Drosophila melanogaster: one gene and its partners. The protein of the gene in region 3 purifies or fractionates together with the protein of the main gene of each other region. This does not show direct contact. Each region holds a gene or a part of one and is shown on either strand. Other genes may lie near its edges.

The links. The genes of interacting proteins can lie anywhere in the genome.
Region 1: the proteins of porin (region 3) and CG11857 purify together in Drosophila melanogaster (affinity purification with mass spectrometry, with the first as the bait; one large-scale study listed by BioGRID). This does not show direct contact.
Region 2: the proteins of porin (region 3) and ATPsyngamma purify together in Drosophila melanogaster (affinity purification with mass spectrometry, with the first as the bait; one large-scale study listed by BioGRID). This does not show direct contact.

Annotation. Positions count from the first base shown.
Region 1 is NT_033777.3:25,257,001-25,261,259, forward strand, and holds CG11857 (uncharacterized protein), read left to right. Parts: upstream 1-1,897; 5' UTR 1,898-2,363; coding exon 2,364-2,432; intron 2,433-2,493; coding exon 2,494-3,036; coding exon of another isoform or gene 3,037-3,222; 3' UTR 3,223-3,759; downstream 3,760-4,259. Other genes in the region: Nup358 (nucleoporin 358kD), read left to right, coding at 1-57, 122-1,129, 1,201-1,559; Kdsr (3-ketodihydrosphingosine reductase), read right to left, coding at 4,256-4,259.
Region 2 is NT_033777.3:29,747,215-29,751,026, reverse strand, and holds ATPsyngamma (ATP synthase, gamma subunit), read left to right. Parts: upstream 1-1,863; 5' UTR 1,864-2,203; exon of another isoform or gene 2,204-2,257; 5' UTR 2,258-2,279; coding exon 2,280-3,173; 3' UTR 3,174-3,312; downstream 3,313-3,812. Other genes in the region: yata, read right to left, coding at 1-46, 110-515, 576-799, 859-1,236; IntS11 (integrator 11), read right to left, coding at 3,630-3,812. UniProt on the Drosophila melanogaster protein: Mitochondrial membrane ATP synthase (F(1)F(0) ATP synthase or Complex V) produces ATP from ADP in the presence of a proton gradient across the membrane which is generated by electron transport complexes of the respiratory chain.
Region 3 is NT_033779.5:10,845,116-10,854,470, forward strand, and holds porin (porin), read right to left. Parts: upstream 5,734-9,355; 5' UTR 5,639-5,733; exon of another isoform or gene 4,401-5,638; intron 3,951-4,400; exon of another isoform or gene 3,916-3,950; intron 3,749-3,915; coding exon 3,429-3,748; intron 3,354-3,428; coding exon 3,126-3,353; intron 3,054-3,125; coding exon 2,753-3,053; 3' UTR 2,310-2,752; downstream 1-2,309. Other genes in the region: CG17139 (uncharacterized protein), read right to left, coding at 1-484; Porin2, read right to left, coding at 773-1,103, 1,167-1,391, 1,458-1,783; SmydA-3 (SET and MYND domain containing, arthropod-specific, member 3), read left to right, coding at 7,403-7,770, 7,995-8,324, 8,438-8,664, 8,719-9,317. UniProt on the Drosophila melanogaster protein: Forms a channel through the mitochondrial outer membrane and also the plasma membrane.

The DNA.
Region 1 (4,259 bases), on a different chromosome or scaffold from region 3:
CTTCGGCTTCTGAGGCAAGCAAAACGCCTAGTTCAGCATTCATTTTCGGTAGCACGGGTATGTATAATTCGACGTTGACCTCAAGATAAAAGGATCTAACCGCTTTTTATGTTCACTTCAGATAAATCGGAGCCTGGAAAGGATGCTGGCCCATTAGCTAATCTTCAAAAACTAGCATCAGGCGAAGGACAAGGAAACGTTTTGGGATCTATATTCCGTAGCGGCTCGTCAAACGAAAATTCGTCTGACGGTTCTGTCAAGTTCTTTTTCGGGGGTGGAAATAAAGCGGCTGAGCAACAGAAGAAAGATTCCTCAGAGTCTGTCTTCGGAGGCAATAAAGCGGATTCCCAATCGCCAGCGACCCAAGAAGCACCGAAGTTGGCCTTCGGTGGAATTGCCGCACCTGTGTTCGGAGACGCCAATCCTTTTGGAGGCCACAAAGTTAATTTGCAAAAATCAGATGGCAAGGAAGAACCAAAATCTATCATTGGCGGAACCCCATTGTTATTTGGAGGGTCCAACGCCTTTGGAATACCCAAAATTGAAACCCAGTCACCTGCTAAAGACTTTGTGTTTGGCAGTGCACCCGCTTTTGGACAAATGGCAACCTTCTCATTTACAGCTGCAAAAAATGAAAAGGAAAAGGACATAACCTCGAATAACACCACTGATCTTAAAGCCGAAGGCAAGGAAAAGAAGGAGTTGGTGCCGGAGACGACCAGCACATTTGCCGATTTGGCCAAGACAGGCAGCACGTTTGCAGATTTGGCAAGCAATCCGGGCGGCACTTTTGCGGACTTAGCGAACAAGACGGGCAACGACTTTGCCAACCTGTCGGCCAATAGCCAGGGCACTACCGTGGGATTCAACAAGTCCGCCGGGGGCGGCTTTTATAACCTCACGCATCAGAACGCTTTCAAGAACTTCGAGTCGCCGCAAGCCACAGAAGAGTGCGATGATGACGGCGACGCGACCACTGATGACAACTACGATCCGCACTATGATGCCATTGTAGAGCTGCCGGATGAGATAGTTGTCACCACGGGAGAGGAGAACGAGACTAAGCTGTTTGGCGAGCGGGCGAAGCTTTATCGCTATGACGCCGAATCGAAACAATGGAAGGAGCGAGGTAAGCTGTAGTAATAGTCCCTTTCTTATTCACACTAAAAGTTTTTATAAAACCAAAAAAAAAAAAAAAAGGTGTCGGTGAGATAAAGGTGCTGGAGCACCCGGAGCTGCAGACATTCCGACTGATCATGCGGCAGGAGCAGATCCACAAGCTGGTGCTTAACATGAATATCTCCGCCTCCCTGCAAATGGATTACATGAACGCGCAGATGAAGAGCTTCCTGTGGGCCGGCTACAACTACGCGGTGGACGCAGAGGGTAAAGTTGACACCGAGGGCGTCCTGGAACGCCTTGCCTGTCGATTCGCCAAGGAAGAGATCGCCAGTGAGTTCCTCAACACGGTCAATTCGTGCATAAAACGAGCCAAGGCCTTGCAAGGTGATGAGGAGAACAAGAATGACGACGCGCCGGAGGAGCAGGCGAGCTCATAAGCAAACCGGATCTAAATATATGTAGCATGTCTAGGATTGTGTTAGAATATTCATCCAAAACAGTAGCGACAATGGCTATTTCACATTTTGCTAATAAAATTTCGATAAACATTAATATTACATTTGAAATAAATTTGACTATTGAATAAAGCAATCGATATATTAGAGAGGAGACAAATTCGGACGTACAACCATATAGCACAAGGAAACTGGCTATGTTTTTATATATTAAATGTACCTCTACCTATTTTTAAAATATCGACAGCACTTAGATAAAAAATTAAAACAAACAATTACCTTTCGCGATAATCGCTCAACTCCCGATTGTTCCATCCCCAGCCGATAGTTTGACAGCCCTGCCACTGAGAGAGCATAATGACGTGGTGAACTCTGTGTGAAAAAAGAACAATAAATTGCCGACAAATCTCTAGTGTAATTAAATTAGTTACCGCATAGAAACGCACTAAACTGTGGCCAGAACTTTACGAATCCCGAATACTGTCTATATAGCAATCTCAGGAAACTGACAGTTGAAACAGCCCTACAACAAGGAGGAAGAAGAAGAAGGCGACGACGGGCGGTGCAGAATATGAATTAGAGAATAATTAGCGATTGAAGCGCGTCTAGTTTGCCAGTTGGCCCATTTCGTGTTTTGTTAGCCCCTTTCCGGCAGCCCCTGCCCCCGTCCCGGAAAATTTTGCAATTCCCGAATCGATACACGTGTGCAGCGAGAACAACGACAGCGTCAAAGTCAACAATAAAAGTCGAGGGCCGGAGATTAATGAGAGACTACCGACGACGACCATGATGAACGAGGACAGCAGTGCTGCCGGCGGCGGCGGGGTTAAGAAGTTCTTTCAGCGCCTCTCACAGGTAAGTAATTGTGGATAGCCCGTACGTGCCGGGAACTAACCCGCATCCTTTGCTTCCGCAGACCTACCAATCCGCCTTGGACCGTAGCACACCGCACACACGAATGCGCTGGGTGTTCGCCGGCTTTCTGCTCCTGCTCTTTGTGCTGCGCATCTTCATCTATCAGGGCTGGTACATCGTGTGCTATGCGCTTGGCATTTACCACTTGAACCTGTTTATCGCTTTTTTAACGCCCAAGATCGACCCGGAGTTCGATCCGTATTCGCAGGATGACGAGGACGAGGGACCCAATCTGCCAACTCGCAGCAACGAAGAGTTCCGGCCATTCATTCGCCGCCTGCCGGAGTTCAAGTTCTGGCTGTCGGTGGCGAAGAGCACGCTCATCGGTCTGATTTGTACGTTCTTCGATTTCTTCAACGTGCCGGTATTCTGGCCCATCCTGGTCATGTACTTTATCACGCTCTTCTGCATCACGATGAAGCGCCAGATCAAGCATATGATCAAGTACAAGTACTTGCCGTTTACCCGCAATAAACCGCGCTACCAGCGGGTGAATGATCTGGCGGGTTCCGGACCCGGTTCCGTGGCGGGCAACTCAAAGTGACAATTAGCCGCACAGACGTCGGACACGCGGGCGACGGCAGCGGGATCGGGTGATCCTTCAAATGCCTCTTCTGCAGCTGCAGCGCCACCATCACCAACCAGCGACAGCGCAGCGACCAAGGATGTGGGGTCGCCAACAGCATCGTCCATCAAACCACCGCAGATCATTGCCATTGAGGACTACTAGAGAAAGCTACCGAAAGCAGCCCGGAATGGGAACCAGCAGCATAACATCAACCAGAAACAAGCTTATAATATGATTTTCCTTTTCGGTTTGTGTAGCATTTTTCGTTTCACTGTTGAGTTGTCGTACGGCGTCTTGTGCAAAATACCTTGTTTATTGTTTAATCTAACTGCTTGTTTAAATTTATATTTATTTACAATGCTTTCTATCTATTGTAAATCCCAAACGATACCGAAATACTGCAGATCAGCTCTAATTTAGTTTTTCATCCTAATCCTAACAATAATTTAATAACTCTTCTATCCAAAAAGTAGACTTACTGTATTTGAATCCAATTATTTTTGATTATCGTGCTAAGATGCTATAATAATATGTCTAAATATATATACAAACATATATATATATATATTTTGCATTATGATTATACAATTTTTGTTAGCGTTAACTATACAGAATGTTAAAAAAAGGCGAATTGAAAACTGAAACTATAGGAAGTGTACACTGGGTGCGTCTTATGAATAAAGAAAGACAAAAGAAAACCAAATAATTTATCGTTGAATTTTGAACCATTTGGAAAAGGTTGATGGCTTTTGTGGCGTGGTTTTTGTATTTATCTAATCGCTTCTGCATGTAGTTTGCTGTTCGATTTTAAGATACGAAACCAATTTTGATTAGGCCAATGCGTGAAATTGCTTTAGCGATTAGCACAATCACTAAGTGGTTATTTAAAAACGACTCATTTTCTGAACAGTAAATACATTTTATTTTTGTTAAAACGAAGCACACACCAACAAAACGAGCACACGTCATCTAGTCTAGAAAACACGATACAAATAGTTAAAACCCTAGCACGGCAATAATAAAAAAGTTCAAATGCACATACAAATATATATATAAAAATGAATGATAATACGGGAATTGTAATATATGAATAGGCTAACCATGCAAAACAATCGCACATTTTGATTAATTATAAAAAAGTGATTTAATTATGGGCACTTGGGAATACTTTAAGGGCAGCGGGACAAGAGAGATTTCAC
Region 2 (3,812 bases), on a different chromosome or scaffold from region 3:
GCACAATGCGTTTCTGGTACTCCACCTCGTCCAGCAGTTTGCCCAGCTGCAAGATTATAACTCTTTGTGAAATCAAGTCATATAGGAGTATGCCAATTCAATAGACAACCTTAAACATGGGAGCCAGCACGGCAGAGCCCGCATCTCCGTACTCGTAGGCTGTTATCAGCTGTGGAAGAATCTTATGCCTGCACACGTTGTCCGGAAAGTTGTCGAGATGCGTGGTCAGACCACTGAAGAAGCGATTCTTCTCCGCCTTGTCCTTGATTTGGATCTCCTCTAGGAAGAGCAGTGTGTCCACCAAATCGTTTTTGAAAAAGCCTCCAGGCTTGCGGCAACGTGTGATTATATCCGCCGGGTTGGGACGATTCGAAGGCGAGGCGCCAACCAGCTCACAATAGAGCGATTGCAGGGACTTGGGTATGTGTTCTATATCCTTGAGGTTGGAGCGTTGCTTGAGCACACCGTTGAAAGCTTCCCACACGAGGCAGCCCAGGCCCCACATGTCCACGGAGCTGGTAGAGAATCCGATTTGAAGGATTATTAAAATAGTCTAAGGTGAGAGGATTACGTACCATTTGGTGGCCGCCTTGAGCTTGCTCGGATCGTTCTTTTCGGGGGAATCGTAGACCTCCAGGGTCACAGGTATTTTGGCGGGCGGCATGGGATTACCATCCGCCGCTGAGACGTACTCCAGGCTGCCCAGTTTCCATTCGCCGGAGGCATTGACAAACACCGACCAGGCGGAAACATTGTTGTGTCGCAGATTGCCATCGTTGTTGAGAAAGGACAGGGCGCGCTGAAAGGGATTGGTGACTTGGTTAGCTAGGGCAAAATATCAGGGATATGGATACCCACAGTGATCTGGAAGATGCCCCAGGCCAGGTAGAGGCCCTTTTGGACATTGTCGCTGCCCAGCTTGGAAAAGTAAGTGCCCAGCGGATCCACCGCCTCGGTGGCCACGTACAACATCTTGTCCGTTTCCAGCGAGTCCAGATACTGCAGGATGCTGGGGTGACGCAATGTCTTGAGGCGCTTCAGCGCCGCCTTGGCCAGCTCGCACTTGGTGTCGGATCCGCTACGGATGTCGTAGACGAACACAGACACCTCCTCCAGCGTCGTCTTGCGCTTGGCCTTGTGCAGCGTCCATATGGAGTATTGGTCAAAGCCGCCCACCGGTTCGCCAATGTCGTAGGGGAAGTCTTTCGAGGAGTCGCGCGAGAAGAACGACCACATTATGTGTTTTGCTCGGCGGCTCAATATTTTGTTACTGTTGTGTCACACAGCAACAGCAACAACAACAGCAACAACTGGCGATTGCAACTGCAACAACAACGCACTGCGCAGGCAACACACGCACGCACACACGCACGCACGCACTCACACACACGCACACCTTGTTGCTGCCACACAAAGGCACTGAAATCGGTGGAGCCCCGATTCTCGGTTTATCCTCAAGCACTATGCCTCTGTCTTTAGCCTTGGCTTGAGCCCTATCCTCCTCATGCCAATCCAGCCGCCTGATGTCCTTTATTTTCCTCCGATGCGCAGCAACAATTTTCCAGCTTTGCTTACGCACACACACACGCACACAGCTAACTTATCCGCTGTTTTTCGTCCCCAGAGGTCTCATCCCTGGGATCCCGGGTGTCCTGGACAGGGCGATCGTGTCTATGTGGCTCTGCTGCGGGTCGGGGGAGTCAGTAGATCGGATCGGGCGCTCGTCTCCGTCGAATTATCCTAATCTTTTTCCCGAGTACGTCAGCTTTTTTTTGCGTGAGGCGTTAGTGACGGAACTTCGTGGCTCGTGCGTGAGCAGCTGATTCCAAAACAGAGCTGGCAAGGAGAAGGAAAACTCTGGTCGAGGGTAGAAAACAAGCTGGCATCTTTGGCAAACCTCTTAATCCTTATCAATTATTATTCTGTTTTTAACTCTATTGTCATAATTATGAGTTACATAAATTCAAATTAATTTCAAGCTTTATTGTGCATTCTGAAGCTTTCCAAAGAAGTTTTGTATTTTATCCAATATTAATAGTTATATGTAGCACAAATCCATTATCCGAAATTTCCATAATTAAAATAAATTATTTAATATAATATTTTACCGTTCACCACGAATCGCCACCGCGTTAACCCGAACTGGGTGGCAACTCTGCTCGGTGTTATAACACTCGTTGTGGCGCAGCCAACTTAACGCAAGGTAGGTGAATTTTCTCAATTTTTGCCGAGTGAATCGAGCTAATTTTCGCGACAGGGAATCTTCGACAACTCACAGGATGATGATGCAACGCACCCAGCTCCTGCTGCCCCTGGCCATGGAGGCCACCATGCTGGCCCAGCAGCAGCGTGGCATGGCCACCCTGAAGATGATTTCCATCCGCCTGAAGTCGGTGAAGAACATTCAGAAAATTACGCAATCGATGAAGATGGTGTCCGCTGCCAAGTACGCTCGTGCCGAGCGAGACTTGAAGGCGGCTCGTCCTTACGGCATCGGCGCCCAGCAGTTCTTCGAGAAGACGGAGATCCAGCCGGACGAGAAGGCGGAGCCCAAGAAGCTGCTCATCGCAGTGACTTCGGACCGTGGTCTTTGCGGTGCCGTCCACACTGGTGTGGCCCGTCTCATTCGCGGCGAACTGGCCCAGGACGAGGCCAACACTAAGGTGTTCTGCGTGGGCGACAAGTCGCGCGCGATTCTGTCCCGTCTGTACGGCAAGAACATCCTGATGGTGGCCAACGAGGTGGGCCGACTGCCCCCCACTTTCCTGGACGCCTCGAAGATTGCCAACGAGGTTCTGCAGACCGGTTACGATTACACCGAGGGCAAGATCGTGTACAACCGTTTCAAGTCGGTGGTGTCCTACCAGTGCTCCACCCTCCCCATCTTCAGCGGATCCACCGTGGAGAAGTCGGAGAAGCTGGCCGTCTACGACTCGCTCGACAGCGACGTGGTCAAGAGCTATCTGGAGTTCTCGCTGGCCTCGCTCATCTTCTACACCATGAAGGAGGGCGCCTGCTCGGAGCAGTCCTCCCGTATGACTGCCATGGACAACGCTTCCAAGAACGCCGGTGAGATGATCGACAAGCTGACCCTCACCTTCAACCGTACCCGACAGGCGGTCATCACTCGCGAGCTGATTGAAATCATCTCCGGTGCCGCCGCCCTCACATAAGCGAATGGAATGTGTTCGAACAGCTCTAACGATTCATACAGCTAATTGCATATGGTGCCAGGCACCTGGAGCTACGCCTGGAGCCCTAGTAATGTTACTCTTTCAGAAAAACCCCAGAATAAATAGCGTGGAACGAACGAAAATAACTTTAACCATGGAGTCCTTACCTAATTGGAGTGGGAGGCAAGGAATTTGAAAGCACTTGCACAGGTCTGTTTGGTTTTTACACATTGATATCATGGGATTCGATTGCATTCTTATGCAAAGACCCATTGATATAACTTAATGTGCATAAAGTCTCAAATTTCAAGTGGCAATGACTAATGACCAAAAAACTATTGGAACGTTTATGTATATTTTGATACTCTTTAAACTTTCAGAAATTGGTGGTATCTACACTTTGTGCTTATCTATGGAATTAAGGCGTGGGATTTCAATGGGATGCTTCTTCGTTGCCTAGCACATATTCTGCAGCACATTCAGTATGTAGGCTCCAATGTCCTCGTCCTGGTTGGTCCACGATATCAAAATGTTCTTCTGCTTGGGATCCTTCTCGTCCTCCTCCACCTTCACCTCAACGGATTCGATGGCTATGGAGCCGTTCTCCTGCATCGTCACCGTCCAGCCGGCTAGCTTTTC
Region 3 (9,355 bases):
GGTAGCTGACCATAGACTTCAATACAGTGGACCATGTGCCGCCCAGCCCATCACCATGCACTCCAAGATCCGATAGCAAGTCTCCATCCGACAACCAGGCGAGGGATGCATGAAAGTTTCCACTCTCCTTGTACGCCTCCAGTCCGCCGTAGACAGTGTTCCATGTTGGATAACCCTCGCCGAAGCTGCTCAAATAGAAATCCTTTTCGGTTTTCGAGGTGCACTGCAGCTTCCAGCGGCCAATGGTGTAGCCGTGGATGAGGCACATCTTGGCCAGCAGACCAACGTGGAAATAGCTGGGCATCTCACCCTCCATCGGTGGTGGCGGCAGCATCTCCACCTTGTTCTCCTCCTTATCTTCTTCTGCACTCCGGTTGTCCTGGACATTGCCACCACCTTCATCGTGGGGTTCCAGGTAATCCGATGCAGCCCGCTTTCGCTTGTTCCTTCTGAACAAGTTCCGTATCCGTTCTCTCATGGGCATTGTGCCATATAAAAAGTACAATAATTAAAAGAAAAATTTAATTAAACACACTTGAAATTTTGGAGTTCTTTGGAAATTGGATAATAATATCGAAGCAGCTGTGATCAAAATTAACAAGATTATTTACTTTTAATTTGTAATATTTTACAGCCTGTATTTAAGCTGCTTAATTAATTACTCAGATTGTTATATTGCCATTATGAAGAACAAAATATATTTGTCATTTGAATAAAGATAAACTTAAAAATAAATTTAGAAATTGAAATCGTTAAGTGATTGGCAGTCATTTTAGCACTGGAGGGCAATTCCCACGCCGAACCGATGGTTTCCGTCCTTAAAGTTGTTGCAATCCAGCACGGCGGATATGGAGGCGGTGATGCCGTCGCGCAGTTTCTGTTCATAGCCCAGGCCCAGCTCCACCAGGTTGTTGACCTTGGCGCGTACGAGGGCATCCTCCTCCAAGTGGTAGATCATGCCCAGATTGACGACCACATCTCCGCCCTGCTGTTCACCCTCGGCAGCTTCGCCGCCGCCGGCTCCCTTGGTTACCTCGATACCGGCATCGATCTTCTCGCTCGCCTTGTAGAACAGCGAGGCCAACCAGGTGTCGCCGTTCTTCCTGCAAATTGATTAAAAGACATAAGATAAAGTCTTCCCACATCTCGTCACACGGGGAACTTACAGCTCGCCATGGAGGGTGGCAGTTTCATTTGTCCAACCAAGGGCCACCTTCCAGCCCTTGAGTTCGGTGTTGCCAACGTCAAATTCGGTGCCCACGCCGCCGAGGAACTCCTTGTGGCCCACAACCAGCGAACAGTTGAGTATCGGCTCCGAGTTCAGTCCAATGTCGGCCAGGAAGTTAAAGTTGTCCTGGGCATAGCCCATCTTGAACTTGCCATCCGCCTCACTGTTGACCCGAGATGTTTATATAATTAAAGGATGCTACCTAAACGATCCCCAAAGGAATACGCACTTTGATCCCGGCTGAAACTTGGCCTCGACGGCCAACATCAGGCCCTGTGCCAACTTATCCCGGTGCATAATCTCACCGAAGAGCCAGTTCTCCGTGTTCCATCGCTCGGTTAGGGTCAGGCCTTGGTCCTCGATCTTGTACTTGCTCTGAAGCGAGCCGGTCACCTTGCTGTTGTCCTGGCTGGCGAAGCCGGTGGTGAAGAACTCAATCCCCGAATTGGTCAGGGTCTTGCAGTCGATCTGCCAGATGCCCGGATGGTAGCCGCGCTTGAAGAGATCGCGGGCCAGCTTGCCCAGATCTGGGTATGTCGGTGTTTTGGCGGCCATTACGGGCTGTATGAATAGGTGGTATGGTATATATGGCCCGACTAATTTCGAAATTTTTTGTCTACTTTTCAACAGCCTCGATTAGCCGAAAATTTATGTCTAACGCTGCCTGATCAGTATCGAGTTTTATACACGCTGGAGACCTGTGAACTAAAACGCACGGAGTCCTGTGCCCAACCGAAAAAGTTAAGTTTTTCAAGCACAAAGAACTTGGGATCAGTATAAGGTACTTATCTTATTATACAGTTTTTTCTTTCAAGCTTAAATCCTTAAATTAAGCTAACCATTCCCAAGCCTTCCACCACCAACGCTGCAATCAAGATAATTTATTTCTTCTCGATTTATTTCTCAGGTAAATGCACAACGAAAAGGTAAAGATTGTTATTAAGGATGTGATTTTGGTGTTATGTGTGTCCTAGTTTCGCCGCAGGATTTTGCAGGCAATCCGTAAAGCCTTGAGAACTGAAAAAAATGCAATGCCTTTTGAGCCATAATATTCCGTCTTTTCCATTTTGTTTTTTTTTTTCGTTTAATAGGTAAATGTATTTTTACTGCACTTTTGTCAACAACAATTTCGCTAATATTCAATGCACTAATCAAAGCTACATCCAACGACGACGGACTGACCTGACCGACCCATCGATTGCACCACCCATCCATCCCCCTGCATCGTTTGTTTGGCAGTGTCTCTCCTGCAGATTCGCGTGGCTGGGGCAGGGAATGGGCGGATGTGGTGATGGCCGGCTGACAACTAATCCAATCCAATCGAATCGCTAAGATGTGCAGATTCTCTTTATATTTGACTGTGTGTTGTTTGTTTTTAAAGAATATCGTATCTTTTATTTTGTTTGATCTTGTTGTTGTTTCTGCACTTGTCTGGCTGCTGTTATTGTTGTTGTTGTTGTTGTTGGGCGTGTGGGGATGTTAGACAACGTTCAAGGATTTCACGACTAGCGGAAAACCACGGACTTAGGCCTCCAGCTCCAGACCCACACCGATCTTGTGGCCGCCGGCATTGAAGTTCTTGCCATCGACCAGCGTGGACAGGGTCAGGGTGACTCCGTCGCGCAACTTCTGCTGGTAGCCCAGACCCACCTGGCTGGCGTTGTTCACCTTAGCGCGCACGCTGGCATCATCATCCAGCTGATACTTGGCGCCGATGGCGAACTTGGTGTTGCTGGTGCCGCTGGCCCACGACAGCTGTACACCCACATCCAGCTTGTCCGAAGTGCGTTGGAAGATCGAGCCGCTGAACTCCTGGCCATCGTTGCTAAACACCGGACAAGGCAATCATTAGTTTGCATTGATTTCATTTGCCATGCGTGGCAATTGCAATACTTACACAGCTGTGTGCAGAACAAAGTCCTTGGTGGTGTAGCCAAGGGCAAAGTTGTTGGTGGTCAGCTTGGACTGTTGTGTGTCAAATGCGGTCTGGTAGCCGGCCAACCATCCCTGGTAGCCAAGCACGGCAGAGGCATTGATCAAGGGGCCCTTCAGATCAATGTTCACATCCGAATCGGCCTTGACGTTCTCATGGCCGTAGGCAACCTTGAACTTGCCGTTCTTGTTTCTGACGATTTTTAATTAAATATGCAATATTAATTATTCTGCAGTGAACATATATGTAATAACATGTGATCCTTACCCAGACTGAGGAGCAAAGTTGCCCTCCAGGGACAGCTTCAGACCCTCGAGGAGCTGATCCTGGACAGCAACCTCGGTGAACAGCGTGTTGTCTGTGTTCCACTTCTCGGTGAGGGTCAGGCCGTAGTCCTTGACCTTGTACTTGGTCTCCAGGGAGCCGAAGACCTTTCCAGACTCCTGGTTGGAGTGTCCGGCTGTGTTGAACTCAATGCCCGACGAGGTCTTAGTCTTCAGATCGAGCTTCCACAGGCCAAAGTTGTAGCCTTTGCTGAAGATGTCGCGAGCCTGTTTGCCCAAATCGCTGTATGATGGAGGAGCCATCTGGAATGGATTGAAATGGAATGCATTAAATCGCACCTTCAATTAGTTGGTGAATAATCGATAATCATGACGATGATACTTATTGCGAAATCATTTCACTCGCCAGGTCATTAATTGCGTTTAGCGAACGATAAGTTTAATCTTATCAGCAACATAATGATTATTACTTTTTGCTCGACTTGATTTCAAAATGTTCTATCGGCCGCAAATGAAAAGTGAAAACTAAAAGACGCCAAAAAACAGCATCAACATGTCCCAAGAATTTCGAGGGCTTTTTCCCCATTTTCACTTTGGCTAAATGTCAATTTTGTGCGGCGAAAATAAAGAAATCAATTTAGATTAGTGTTCAAGGCGGCCACATGCAAAGAATCACCAACTGAAGCAGCGAAAATTCTGAGTGACTGAGGAGGGGGTCAATGCACGTCTGGGCAAAATAAAGTGGCGCAAAAAATAGAAGCGAAGATAGAAAACAAATAGTGACTAAGTCTATTTTACTCCAAGAAATTAAGGGTTTTCTATACCAATGCAAAACCATTTAAATCAAAATTTATTTTTCAAATATTTTTATAGGTTTTTTAAACTAAAATTTTAATAAAAATACTGAGATTTTCCCTATTTATCTGGCCACAGGTTTGCCTCTCTCTATGTTTACGTTCCGTTCTTGCTGGCATTAATTGCTGGTCAGTTCAGTCCCGTTAGGCTAGCGATCATTGACTCAGAAGCTAACTGCACATTTGCAACGTCTGCTGTGGTCACTGCTTCGCTGTTTCTATTTGCGTGACGTCAGGAATGCGACTCACAGTCGCGGTAGGAATATTAGTCGCGGATAAATAAATTTCTATCCGATATTGAGCATAAAAAAAATCAAACAAAAATAACCCAAAACATCTAATTGAAATTATTATATAGATATAACAATATAAATATTTCATGTTGTGTTCGGGGGGATTGGTGGGGGGAAACTCAAGGCAATCAAGGCAGAAAATTATGAAAAGCAGCGGCCAGCAGACAAAAATCTTTATGGCCGGCAGCCAAACGTTAAATGGGATGGGCTCTTATTGTTCCGGAAGTCAGGTGATATAACCTGGTCACTAGATGCTGAAAATAATACTATCAGGTGGATGTCCCGGTGAAAATGAATCAGCATCTCGTTGACGATGACCTTGACAAGCAGATTATAAAGGGGGTGGTTGGGTGGATGTGCAGCTCATTTTTTCGACAGTTGCATAACAGCAGGGAAATCGATGAGGGAAAGTGGAAAGCTAAGTGAATAGCTGCCCGAAAAGGTGGTCTATTGATTTTCCAGGTGACGTCACTGCGAAAATACCACCCACAATCGCGAAGTGCACCCACCTCCTCACATGACCACAAACAAACAAAACGACGATAAAGAACGGTAAAGAGTGAAATCGAAAATGTTTATTGAGCGAGCTGCACGCTGGTGGATGGCAACATGACGATAACGAACGGAATTGATGCGACATGCGTTACGTAACGGAAATTCGCCAGGCACTTTTCCATCGATCTCTCTGCTTCTTTGCCCCCTTTTTTCGCCGGCAGCTGCTGCCAATGAACTGCGAAGGCATTGGTGTGCGTGGACTGTTCATGTGTGGATGTGTGTGTGACAGCTAACCGGCTTAATATCCCCTTTAAATTTCGGATTTATCAATTAATTATTGCGTGATTTGGTGATAAGAAGCTCGCCCATCGTCATCCAACAAAAAAGTGCTCAGCCCTTTTGCTTTTCGTTCATGCGCGTGTCTACTTGCAATTTTTTCATTTCGAGGTTATGAAATCACTGGCACCGAAAATCCTGATTTTCCTTCTACCCATAGGGGTATCCATCACATTTCACTGAATTTTGAGGGGGTTTACTCCTGAGCTACTTACTTTTGATGAGTTTTAGTTTGGTTAGAGTGTAATGCGAAACGCAGAGGAACAGAGACACCACGACAAACGTACACCAAAAAATTTTGTAATTCTGTGCCTTAGTGTTACCAACCCTAAAAATTCGTCCAATAATTATTCCCTAAAACAAGCCGCAGATATACTATCTGGTAACGCTGCGTCACTCTTAATGGCAATGGTCACACTTTTTGTAACGGAAATTTGAAAACTAACGGTTACTTAAAATAATTATTGAAATTAGAATTCAATCATTCTATTAAGAAATTCGTTATCTTAAGAACAATTAACTTACATCAAAGTGTTTTTTTTTTACATAAAAGGGTTTCCTGCAAACGAAAACTTTAAAGTTGTGGACAAGTAAATGGGCTTTAAAAAAGTTATAATCCAAAGCAATCAAAATGCAATAAATATATTACAACTTTATTGATTGACACCAATGAAGTGTGTGCGATGCTCTTTTTATTTTTAGACGAATCTGCGTGCAGGGCCGCCAATCGACCGCATAATCCCATTCGGATGGGCCAAAAGCGAGACCAGTGCATTTGCCGTGCGGCGACAGAATGTTGAAGGCCCGTCTGCAGGAGGACGCCGTGCTGGGACGCTGCTTGGCCACCTCTAGCTCCGTGGAGCGGGGCGAGCTGGTGCTGGAGGAGCTGCCCTTCGCACGCGGACCGAAGCGCGACAGCGGAATCGTGTGCCTGGGCTGCTACCAGTTCCTGCAGTTCGGAGAGGACGGCGATTCGCTGGACCGCTGCGAACTCTGCGATTGGCCGCTGTGCGGATCGTGCGCCGACGACGAAGACGTCACGGAGCACCGCGGAGAGTGCCAGGTCTTCTCCGCCGCACGTGTCACTTTCGCCGGGAATGTGAGCGATGATGGCGTCTGCCCGCAGTTGGATTGCATAACCATATTGAGGTTAGTTCGCGGGCGCTCCAGCGGGGCGGGGGTGATGGTGCTGGGTACATCCGTACAGCAGGGGCTACTGGGTGCTACTAGGGGAACCTGGGCGGTCTGTCCGAATATTAGTTTTGGCAGCAGCGGCCCATTTCTCGCAGTTCGCAGGCTAGCCGGCATATACAGATTCTCATGGCGACTCTACGTCAAAGAAGGCGGACGGATGGATTAACAAGTCTGTGAAAGGGACAGTGGAGCAAATCGCACAGAAAATAAAAAATAAATAGCTAAATTTAAAGTGCATGAAAGTAAGGAGAAAATTATGGCATGAAACAAGCCATATTTGTACATATTATTATGACAGAATAATTGGTATATGATAGTTGCGGCGCGTTATGATCAATGTACCATCATGTTTTTATATATTTCGTAGCAAAACTGAACTGTAAGCACTGTGAATTATTATTTAAATAATGTTAAGCACATGTTTAAATAGATCGGTGCTTAGTACTTAGAAATAGAACTAACAAAGCCAAGCAACTTAAAAGTTACAAGCAACTTAAAAGTTACAAGCAACTTAAAAGTTACAACCAGTAAATTATTTAATTTATGAAAATGTAAGGTATTTTAGTTATTATAGAAATTGAACAATGTTTTCTCAAGACAATTTGTTCAAAACTAAAATTTCTCACCTAGGACCTCGCATGCCCACTGTGCCCAGCAATTTTGATGCTTTATGTCGGAGCAGGCAGAAATGTAGTCATGTAGTGGGGAGGAGGCATCATCTGTGGGGTGTGCCCATGACATGAGATCTGAGATCTGAGTGCGGCCAGCCGGCATCAGTCAGCGAAATGACATCGCCGCCAACGCTGTCGGTGAATAGGACAGCGGTTCAGTGGAGTCCGGTCTGCGGACGCTATCTGGTGGCCAAGGGAGCGATCCGTGGCCACGGTCTGCTGATCGAGGAGCTGCCCTTTGCCGTCGGGCCCAAGTGCAATGGACCGGTGGTGTGCCTGGGTTGCTACGAACCCAACCCAGATCCGGAGGAGGAGCTGTGTAGCGAATGTGGCTGGCCGCTGTGCGTGGAGTGCGCCCAACAAGCGGATAACGCCCATTTCCGCCTGGAGTGCAGCCAGCTGAAGGATGCTCGGGCACGATTCTTCCGCCTGCCCAGCGGCAGCAGGCACTGTCCGCAATTGGACTGTATTATGCCGCTCAGGTGAAGCCCAGCGGGTGGAACAAAAATAGACCACCAGGCACCAGGCAAACTGATAGCGTCACTATTTTATCCGCTCAAGATGAAAGTTATATACAAAAGGATTCATTAACAATTAAAAAAGAGAAAGATTTTTAATTTAATGTAGCTAATTATAATCAATAGGTTACTTGTTGTGCTTCATATGATTGTCATTTGGAATACCCTTTTAAACTTTCTACTTTCAGAGTTCTGTTGGCCAAGGAGGCGAATCCGGAGCGATGGGACAACGAGGTGGCACCCATGGAGCACCACAAGGAGGAGCGCCAAAGGGACGCGGATGTCTGGCATGCGGATCGCGTTAATATCGCTCAGTATTTGCGCGGTCCCTGCCAACTGGCCAACCGATTCAGCGAGGAGCTGATCATGCAGGTGGTGGGTGTGCTGGAGGTGAACGCCTTCGAGGCGCGCAGCCCGAAGGGCTATCCACTGAGGTGCCTCTTTCCCTATACCGGCATTCTGGCCCACAACTGCGTGCCCAACACATCCAGGAGCATCTATCCCAGCGAGGGATACAAGTGAGTTGTAAATAGATTTGTAAATTCAGTTCTCTAGTTCAAGATGTCTAGAATTACATTTCCGCTGTTGCACATCTAAAATAAGTCCTCCTATATTTGTTTCTCTTCCAAAGAATCCGACTGCGCGCCATGGTGGACTTGGAGGAGGGTCAGCCCCTGCACCACAGCTACACCTACACATTGGATGGCACTGCCCAGAGACAGAAGCACCTGAAGCAGGGCAAGTTCTTCACCTGCCAATGCGAACGCTGTCTGGATCCCACCGAATTGGGAACGCACTTCTCCAGCCTGAAGTGTGGTCAGTGCGCCGAGGGATTCCAAGTGCCCAGGCAGCCAACAGGTGAGCGAAAAAGATCCTCTAGAAAGTGATAAGCTGACCTTATCCACTACGCAGAACCGGACACTAGTTGGAACTGCGCGAACTGTGGCTCCGACACCAGCAATGCGGATGCACTGGCGATGCTCCAATCCCTGCAATCCGAGGTGAATGCCGTGCAAGCGCTGCCCATGGCAGCCAAGCGGCTGGAGGAGATCGAACGACTGTTGCGCAAGTACAAATCACTGCTGCATCCGCTGCACTTTATAGCCACCGGGCTGAGGCAGTTGCTCATCGAGATGTACGGGCGAGTACAGGGCTACGAGATGGTGCAACTGCCGGACCACCAATTGGAGCGCAAGGCGGAGCTATGCCGCCAAGTGCTGAGAGTGCTGAACACCTTCGAACCGGGTCTGAGTCGAACACGCGCCATGAATCTTTACGAGCTGCACGTGCCACTGGTGCTGCTGGCCAAAAGTGGCTTCATAGCCGGCAAGCTGAAGGGCGGCGAGCTGCGTGCCCGCCTCGTCGACGCCATAGATCTGCTGAAGGAGTGTGTGGAGATCCTGGAGTTCGAGGACAAGAGCTCCCAGGAGGGAGTGCTGTGCGTTGTGGCCAAACAGGCGCTGAAACAGCTCACACTGAGCGTCGAGGGACTGGGAAGCGAACTCGATTGATTGACTTATGCATATCGGTTAGCTTTATTGGGAACAGT